Linked DNA regions of Tribolium castaneum. The protein of the gene in region 2 purifies or fractionates together with the protein of the main gene of each other region. This does not show direct contact. Links are inferred from orthologs where the notes say so. Each region holds a gene or a part of one and is shown on either strand. Other genes may lie near its edges.

What was found. The genes of interacting proteins can lie anywhere in the genome.
Region 1: the proteins of Brf (region 2) and Trf purify together in Drosophila melanogaster (affinity purification with mass spectrometry; 3 studies listed by BioGRID, with this or other methods). This does not show direct contact. The link is inferred for Tribolium castaneum from reciprocal best matches to the Drosophila melanogaster genes Brf and Trf.

Annotation. Positions count from the first base shown.
Region 1 is NC_087402.1:7,354,179-7,358,990, forward strand, and holds Trf (uncharacterized protein Trf), read right to left. Parts: upstream 3,023-4,812; 5' UTR 3,001-3,022; coding exon 2,887-3,000; intron 2,843-2,886; coding exon 2,760-2,842; intron 2,713-2,759; coding exon 2,469-2,712; intron 2,363-2,468; coding exon 2,087-2,362; 3' UTR 1,608-2,086; downstream 1-1,607. Other genes in the region: osi (electron transfer flavoprotein regulatory factor 1), read left to right, coding at 3,196-3,234, 3,324-3,527; Syt1 (synaptotagmin 1), read right to left, coding at 4,767-4,812. UniProt on the Drosophila melanogaster protein: Acts as a transcription factor. Binds to the TATA box promoter element which lies close to the position of transcription initiation. May be essential for embryonic development.
Region 2 is NC_087396.1:22,068,182-22,073,370, forward strand, and holds part of Brf (transcription factor IIIB 90 kDa subunit), read right to left. Parts: intron 1,780-5,189; coding exon 1,630-1,779; intron 1,570-1,629; coding exon 1,476-1,569; intron 1,304-1,475; coding exon 1,171-1,303; intron 1,122-1,170; coding exon 1,031-1,121; intron 873-1,030; coding exon 735-872; intron 1-734.

The DNA of each region.
Region 1 (4,812 bases), on a different chromosome or scaffold from region 2:
GAGTTCGCAGTCGCGACATTGTTTTTACAGTATGTGAGTTTCAAAATTACCATTATGTCAAGTCTGGAAGTTATAAAGTCTAATAATTATTCTTGCAAAATCAACTTTTATTAGAATTCGTAATTTCCTTCAAAAATTCATAAAAAAATATTGAAGAAAAATCAGTTCCGTCGTCGTTTTTTTTTTCTCAAAATCTGGAACACGATAATTGCGAGGCCTGGCCTCAATACCGTGGCTAACTTTTGCACGAGCTTATTTCAGATTGGATGTTTTTGTCATCTCATAGGCTGGCGCTAATTTCCCGCATATAGTCGAAGTGAGGGAATGCCTTTTGTTGCCCCAAAGACGTAAAATTGCCCACGTCATGCAAAGTTTTTCATGCGTGCTTTCAGAAATGATAAGCTTTTTCACCACCATAGGATAAACGAATTTCCAGGCAGTCTGTTACCAGGACAACGGTTTCGTCCTGGCGTCAACACTAAACTTGAGCTTTGACGTCAAAACAACGAATCTCACTTATCTTGATGAGAACAGCAGCGCGATGATTTTTTTTATTAATTATTGCGTTATCATATCTGTCGGGAAATAGCGTTGGGCTTAAAAAACATATTTTTTTGATTAAAAACCGACACAGAGCTTCGGTTCGCATCGATTGAGCTTAAAATAGAAAAATTCAATTATTAGGCAAAAATTACTAATCCCTCGGAATTTAAGTCACTCATCGCAGCCACGTGGCCCAGTTGTTTGCTTTCACAACGATTTGTCATGTTCATATAACAGACAATTACGTGAAAAGGTCAAGGTGCATGAACAAATTCGTTCAATTATTCCCTAAATTGATTACGAGCTAGGACATTTTATCGAAACCGAGAGGATGGTTTTGTTATTAATGGACCGAATCTAATTGTTGCGGCCAGGGCCGCGTTGTTTGTTTCTCGCGAAATTAAGTTGACCTGAATTTCATCGCAATTATTACCCCTGGCTTAATTTTAGCGCTTCGATTTATTGTTCTTTTAAACATGCTTCACCTTTGAGCTATTTCTGGCAAACAACAACTGATCACGGAATAATAACAGTGAAAAATCGCGCTGTTTACTCTCGTCATAATAAAATAAAAGCAAGATTTGTCGATATGTGGCGAGTTTTCAGCACTGGCGCCACCGATTCCCAAATCTATATTTGCCGGTGGGACATTCACCCCTGAATTGCATTTACTAATCTCCCAAAGTAAAACAAAGTTTACGGGTTATTCCAGTCGTGAAAGATTGTTCTTTGTCTCCAATAAAAAAGTTATGGAATATCAAACGCAGTTTATTGCTAACAAAAAATGTACAAACAATAAAATACAATACAGATAAACCGTGATCCTAAGTGGCCTAATCTAACAATAATAAATAAATTAACGACCTAACATATGTATTGTTATAAAACAGTTTATCTGAGTTAGAAAAATCTCACAGGGTACGATTTGATCAAATTTATCCTTTCTATCTTGTACAAAGAAAAGGAGAAGGCAAAAGAGGAATAATAAAGGGGAGTTTCAACCTTTTGGTTCGGATTATTGCCTTGGAATGAACAAAGTTCAATCGATATTGAAATACGCTAGATTCACAAAAGTACAATTTATTTTCAATTAACAAAATAAAATCGAAGAAAACTTAATAAAACAAAATTGGCTGTTTGAAGCCTTACGTATGTCTACGGCCATTAACGCCCACCTAAATAAAAACTCGTGTTTTGAGTAATTGCTCACAAAGATTGACTTAATTTCCGATTCAAATTATGACTGTTGCGCCCTCAGGTGATCGATTTTAATATTAGTACTTCACTGTAAAATAGCGGTAAAACTAATACCATCGCTCTATTAACTATTTTAAAAATCTATAAAACCTTTGACATAAATACAATAACAGGGCGTAGAAGTCTTAATTTGAATCAAGAAATAATTACGGTGAGGAATACACGTGTAAAAAATAATTTTATTACGTCATTTGCGTAATAGAGAGAAATTGTTGCCAGTGCCCTCTATGGACCAATATCCATTATTAAAAATTTCTCAGAGTAATATCTCAAAGAACCAGTCTACTTAATTTTTCTTAAAGCTACGTAAAATTGGGTAAATGTTATCCAGCGATTCCTTAATTCCTTCTCGCGACTTGGAGCCTGTGAAAACAATTTTCCCATTGACAAAAATAAGCAAACACAAGTGTGGTTTAATCATGCGGTAGATTATTCCAGGAAAAAGTTCAGGTTCGTAACTACAAAACTGTCCATGCAATAAACTTAAACTTTCCAATTTTATGGGGAATCTCAAATCGCACGTCGCCACCAGATTCTGTATCTTAAAGTTGTCAAATTTGATCTAAAAAGGATATTTTAAATGCCGGGTCAAAGTGGTCTATGACTTTGAAATTGCTGCCAACTTAACTTCAAAGTCATAGGCCACTTCATCAGAAATTAAAACATACATCAAAGCCCAATTTTTGTATAATCCGGGCAAACTTTTTAGACGCCAGGAGCGCATCTTGCTCGCTTTTAGCCCCAGTGCATACAATTTTACCAGTCTGGAATATCAAAGCTGTGGTTCTTGGATCTCTAAGTCTCATAATTAACCCATGAAACCGTGCTGGGTTATATTCCGAGTTTCTGGTCCTCGCGTTAATTAACGCCAGGTCTAGTTTTGTATTGAGATCAACCGTGGTTACGCAATTTCTACGAGAATTGCATTAGAGAAAAAATCCATTTTTTAATTTACTTACTGTATTGTTATGTTTGTATGAGGTTCACCAGCTGCTGAACCAGGAGTTGCCACAATCATGTTAGATTTTCCGGGAATCTGAGGCTAATATTAACATAATAAATGGGGAAAGTTAATAGTGGACTTACTGAAGGGGGCACAGCTGGGCCTGCGGACCAGTCCGGGGTAGGGACAGCTGGAGTAAAACGTGCAGGGCTATTCAACATTGCACGCAAGTGCACGTCTGTTTGTTTTTGTTCCATTTTTCTGTGATTATTTAAGAAATTACTGAAGGGTTAACAGCTGTCAGTAATTGAGGTTAAAAGTAACTGACAACCATATGATTTCGAAGGGATTTTCGAGTTGCCAACGTAATTATCTTCTCAAGGGTTAAAGTTCAAAAAAACAATATTTTGTGTTTCTGTGCGGTTTTTAACACTACCCGGACTCATTTTAACATGTCTTTACGCAAGGAAGTGATTCAGCTTTACAAAACAGTAAGTGTGGTTTTTTGTGTTGTTTAGTATACAGCATGGCTCCAAAATATTGTGTATACAGAGTGAGCTTTAAAATTGACATTTTTTAGTTGCTGCACCTGGGGAAAGATTATCCGTCTGGTTATGAGTTTTTTCGAACGCGCTTACATAAAGCATTCATGAAAAATAAAGATGAGAAAGATCCAGAAAAAATAAAGAAAATGATTGCCCATGGGCAGTATATAGTGAAAGAGTTGGAAACGTTGTACATGCTGAAGAAGTACAGAACTTTAAAGAGGAGATATGATCTGTGATTGATGAAACACACACACAAAGTGGTCAACAGGACGAGTGATATGATTTATTTATTTTTTGTCTACTTAACAAGAGCAAGGTTGCCACATTTTATTTAATTTCACAATATAATAATATTATCATACTTATTGTTCTTTAATAACATTGAAAAATTAACTATACAATGTAATAATAATGATAATAAAGTGCTATTTTGCTATGACTAGATAAGGAAAGCCGTTTACAGTTTTTGTTTTCTTTGTTTAACTAAACCTAAGATCACGTACAATTACATTCCTAAGATATTGCCACTCCAAGAAGCTCGTGCAAACTACAATTGTCACCACCTGATAACAAAATAAGATCACGCATTGATGATTACCAAATTTCTTCGGTATTAGAGCTAGGTGTGTGCTGATTTCTTACTAAATAAATAACTTGGGCCCATATACTGGTGTTTGGGAGGGTACATACATAAGAGGGGCCGTAACACTTCTCTATACTGTTTACATACTTTTTTATTTTACACAACATTGTAACATTATTTATAGGTATATACAAGAAAAGAGGAAGAATAATATCATTTTTTCTGTTTGGTACCCTGGACCGTGTGATTTTTGGTCAGGGTACCGCCAAATAAAATTTTGGAACGGAATTCTACTCTACGTTGTTTAAAACAGCATGTCTCAATGCTGACGCAATCCCAACAATGCGCCTTTTGTCGTCGTATCGTTGTTTTGGTGGTAAATAGGCAATAATAATCCACAAATTGCAATAGCGCCCATTGTGGGATTGAGATTCGAAAGTTTTTTGTGCTCCGGTCCATTAAAATTTGCAAAGTAATTTCAACTGTTCTACAAGCTATCAAATTTCTATTGTCTGTATGATCTAATCGTCTAATACTCATTGGCGACTCTTCCGCGTCTGTTTCAATGTGGGTGTTACAATTTCGAAACGAAAAACGGTTTGGAAGAAGGCGATCTATTTACAGAAACAGTAGTTCGTTGAAGGCAAGCTGAGTAACCTGTTTTCGGGAAAAATAATAAATTAGGTAGTCCCGAGAGTTACATCGAATATTTCCTTCAAGTAGTTATTATAAAATATATGTTACTGACATCTATGATGTTACAAATATACACTTATAACTGTTTTCCTTTTAAGTAAATTAAGTAACGCGACGTTTTCTCATGCTAGGGAACCAATATCTTTATGAGTAAATCTTATAGTGTTTGAATAAATCAGCGTTGTAAGCGACCAGCTTAGTCCTTCTTCTCGTCCTCTGGGTCTTTGAGGGTGTGCCACTGG
Region 2 (5,189 bases):
GTTAAAACAAAGAGAAATGTGCCTTTTGAAGTTAACGCAAATAATGTATAATTCCAGTGGTAACCGTCAAAAATAACAGTTACTGGCGATGCGGGTAACCGTCAAAATAACGGTTATTTGGCCGTAATTTTTGGTCCGATTAGTCGCATTTTTGGCCCTTCACCTGCAAATTGATAGATATTGTCGAAGTTTATCTAAGTAAACCTCATAAATGACAGTTATCCTAAGTAGGGTGAGGGTTAATTAGAATCAAAACGTTTTTATAGGTTTGTTAAAAAAAATATTTACATTTTCAACGTTTTACTTTCGAGCGCAAACCGCAAAGCACGCGTACCAAAATTAATAAAACGCTTTCAATGAAAACCGAATATCTGTTTTAATTAATAATTTATTTAAAAAATTAGAAATTCAAACGACTCGTGTTTTGATTAAAATTTTTCCGCTAGACTTGTTTTTCTTTGTTTTGATTATGCCATGTTTTGTCCTTAAATTGTCCAAACACAATGACGGAAGCCACTTATCTGCTTAAAATGTAATTGGCGTTCATGTTTTACAATATTGTTTTACAAATATTGTTGAGCATCTCCGCGTTATGGATTATTGTTTACATGTCGAGCACTTTGACGGCAATTAATCATTTTTTTATTCGCGTTATGCGCCTTTATCCGTAATTCGTTTTTATTGCTTGTTTGACTAAATAATGAATTTTTTCGTCGACTTTTTTAATCACTCACCCAACTCCTTGACCGGTTCTTTCGCGATTTCTGGATCCTCGATCGCCTCCTCTTGAATAATCTGATTGATGGTCCCCATCGTCGACTCCCGAATAAACCGATTGGTCTCCTGTATCTCCTCCGTGTCCCTCTCCTTCTCTGCAACATAAAGCACAGCCTCGAGCCAACTTAATTAACACACCGGACTCCCGAATCCAAAATAAGAGTCGTTTCAAATCCGGCAAACTTTGATTTTTGTCAACACGACGACCGGAAAAATTACACTTCACCGGAGCGCGCTTCGCTTTGATACTTACTTTTTCTCGATTTCATTTTCGCATCTCTATTCAACTGCATCTCAATCTCCTGCTGGAGCTCAGTTATACTCTCGGCTTCCTCTTCCATCAACTGCGACACAAAAAGCGAGTAAACACACACACAAAACGACGAAAATTACCCTCTGAAGGCGCTCTTTGTCCTTTTTTCGAGCCGCTTTAAACGACGGCGGGTCCTGCTCCTCCTCCAGGTCCACCGTCATGAACTCCTCCAGCGTGAGGGCGCTGCTCGGGGTGTCCCCGAACTCGATCAGTCTGCAAAATAACCCCAACTGCTTTCCAGTAACCGTCAACAAAAAGAATAACCACGTTAACCTGTGGCGCTAAAATTGTTGATAACCGTTATAGGTGACGGTTACTAGATGGTAACCGTCACAAATGACAGTTATTTTCGGGGTAACCGTCACAATGACGGTTACCTACGCACCTTTTCCTCAAGGTGGACTCGTGCACTTTGACGATTTTGACGATATCGCTGGCGGAGCGCCCGAATTCGTGCAATCTTGCTGCGATGAGAAGGGCTGTGTATTGAAATGGTGTTGTAAAAATTCAATTTGTTGATGGAAAATTGCGTCGATTACCTGCCCCGCAGAGTCCTGAAGGACGTCGTCCCGAATGTATCGAGTCCCTTTTCATTCTTTGTACGAGTCTGAGGGCGGTGTTGGCGACCTGTTGTGTTTTCGAGCCGAATTCCAGTTTAGCAGCGAAGCGTAAAATATAGAGGCAAGGGTCTGGAATCGATCATTGGTCGTGTGATCTTTGTTTATGATGAGAAAGTGGCGGTTGTTATTGTGTCGTCAGAGGGGAAAAGTTCACACGTCCGGAGGTTACAATAATATGGAGCAAGAGAGGAAAAGTGAAGAGAAAAGTATTGAATTGACTTGCACGTGGTGCTAATTGCAAAATGTGCGATGGTACTAAGTTCAGCGTAATTGCTTGAATTTATTTTAATTAATTCGCTCGTTTTATGGAGCATGAAATTCCGACGGATTTTTGATAATGACGAATTTTCATACTTTCATACTTTCTCGATTATGAATTGTGGGTCAGCAAGGCGAACACGTCAAAATTTGATTGATAAACCGCGTACAGTAAAACCTCGCCTTGTGATTTTTTCGAACTGTAATTATTTAAATCGTGCCTCAGTCAATTGGTTGTTGCTCTAGGGCAGTGATGTAGACATTTTCATGACATTACGTTCACTCCACTTGTAGAAATCATCGTAAAATAATTAAAAATTCTTCTCGTTTGCAATAGACATAAACGTTTCCTTCGTACAAAACAATAATTAAAAACATTTAAACCTTGTTCCCGGTAATTGCACATGACAACATCGATAATCTTCTTGTATTTTGATTCACCTAAACATTAATAAAACGCAACAAGATATTTCCGTGTATTGAATTGATTTTTTTAAAAACCTTGCAACGTTATTACAAATAACTGGAATTCGTGTAAACAGAATGACCGTTTAAAATAATTGCAATAATTAGCATTAAAGAAATTATGAATTACTGCCTGATTTATACTCGAATGGAAAAGTTTGCGTGCGAGAGAAACAATCAAACTTGGGATGGCTTTAAACCCGAAATAAACTTTTATGTACTTAAGAAATAAAGCTTTAATTGTGATGGAAGATTATGATGCCGCGAACCTGAAATAATTTTAAGACGCTTTTAGCCCGAAAAAGCGACCGAATCTTTTTTACTTCAATCGGGATTAAAATGCGACTAAACGAAAATTTCAATAAGTTATAGTTTGATTAATTAAATTTCAAGAATTTTATTTACTTGACTCACGCTTCAACAATCTGCTTCTTTTAAGTAGCTTTATGCAGTCTGTAATATCATTCAAGGTGATGTTTACAAACAACAAAGTTTATCAAATTGTTTGTTCAAAAAAATGTAAAAACATTAAAACCATGTTAATGGCTGATTGAAGGCCCGTTATTTAAATACAATCAATTGGAATCGAATTCTTGCAGCCGTAATTCATTGTTCGATCAACATTCCGTGTAATAAAGATAAGGAGCAGGCAATATTTTATGTGCAAACACTCAAACAAAAGTACATTTTTCTTTAATGTCCTACGAGAAAAATACTGTTCCGCGATGTTTGCTCTCTTATCTTCGCAGCAGGCGATCGATGCGCAACCAAACCGTCTCAGAAAGTAAAATAATTTCGAAAATTGTAATTAACCGAGTTTTTTCACGGTCAGGTGCGCCAGTCTTTGTACTTTTTACAATACAATGCTAGTGTCACCGGTCGAAAGGTCGCTCTTAACTAAAACAAGAATTTTTAATTAGTGGAAACCGATTCAGCACTTCTCGACGGAAGCCACCGACGAAATTGTGTCTCAACAATTTTAATATCGGATTCAAATCGCATCGTGTTTATTTGTAACTTCGTGCTTAAACTACTTTCCCTTGGTGGTCTCTCCCGAGGCATATAAACAGTCTGAATTGACTTAATTTGCAATTAATTCCAAACAATGAGACGTTAAATACATCGAAATTGATTTTTCATTGCAGGCAAATATTCTGGAATTATGTAATCGGCAGGCCCGGCCTGGCTGCTCAAGCCCACCGGGGTAGGAAACATAGACATTCAAAACTACCCAGTTTTTTTCTCTTCTTTCTTATTTATCCAAAGGAGTCGGCGCAAAAAGAGTTTTTCGCGACTCAGTAAGTTAAAAAATAACCAGTCCGGCCCTGTTGGTCGTGTCAGAAGTCACGTAAAATTTTCGAAAAGTCGTCAAAATTTCCCAACGAATCAATCGAGGAAGTGGTCGGTGGAGTGTGACGAAGTCTGATAAAAAGCTGACCTACTTCCAGCGTAATATCCATTTCGTGTCGGTTTTCTTAAGGGCCGATGATTTTTACGAGGTGGCATAGCAGAGGGCGAACAAACGACTCGACAATGGCCGAGCAAATGCACCTTTGTAACATATTGGGTTACATTACCTGCTGACAGGTCGTTGACTTGGGAAAATATGTCAGTAATGAACAGTTGGTTTGGCAATAGATGTTTGTAGCAAGTACCGTTTGATGCTGCAATCGCCGAATCACTGTCCTTGACTGGATTTCAAATTTCGGCTCGAATAATTTTTTCAAAGCCATTGGAGTGAAATTGCAAGTCACGCTTACTTTGCCGAGACCGATATACATTCACTCGTGGTTTTTTCAGTTTTGTAATGGCACTTGTTACAGGATACCTGCTTTCTAATCGAAAGATTTTGCAACATGTATTTGCGGGCGAAATATTGTATTGTTTATCGAGATTTTGCGATTCAATGTCGGAGCGCTTGATTTTAATGACCTGAAATTACTGCAGACTTACAATGTCACCACGGCAATGCCATTTTTTCAACGCAATGACTCAATATCCAAAATTTACAGTCGCCACATCTGCAAACAAATTGCTAAATTCTAACAATCGACTCGAGTGGCATTAAAAATTTTTGCAACGACTGTCTAAATAGTTAAATAAATGGGGACGCCATTAGCGATTCTTTTGCAACGGATTTTTTAAGAAGATGATGGAATGACGATCGTGTATGCAAATGTGTAACAGCATTGACTGTCCACATGAGAAAAATTCTTATAAGGAAGATAATAATTGTCAGTTCCTGTTAGTAAAGGTCGCAGCTTTGCAAGTCCGGAATTTAAAACGGATTTATGAGACAATGTATGCATCACAAAGCAAAAAATTCAAATAATGGTGTTTTAACGTCTGTGCCAAATTGCAGTGAACAGTTACCATCACTATAGTAAAAATCATCCTTTGTTACGTTCAAATGTGGATAATAAACCGCAATTAACCGTTAACCAATAAATACGTGTTTTTTGCCCATTTCATCAGCATTCACTACGTCTACAGCAACTTGTAACAAATTTTACAATGTTAATATTTTAATATTCCGGAAATTATTCATCCTTAACTCAAATTTATTAAAAAATCTTTTTTTTCAGCAGATGTTAATTTCTTTATCAACTCTTTTGAATAGACAAAATAACACTTTAACCACAAGGATAAACGTTTTTTTTTATTAAACTACAGTCAAACTTCGATAACCCGAAAAAACAGTTATTAATGCCAGCAAAATATCAAAAATAACTAGAAAAAAAAGAAACTTCAAATTT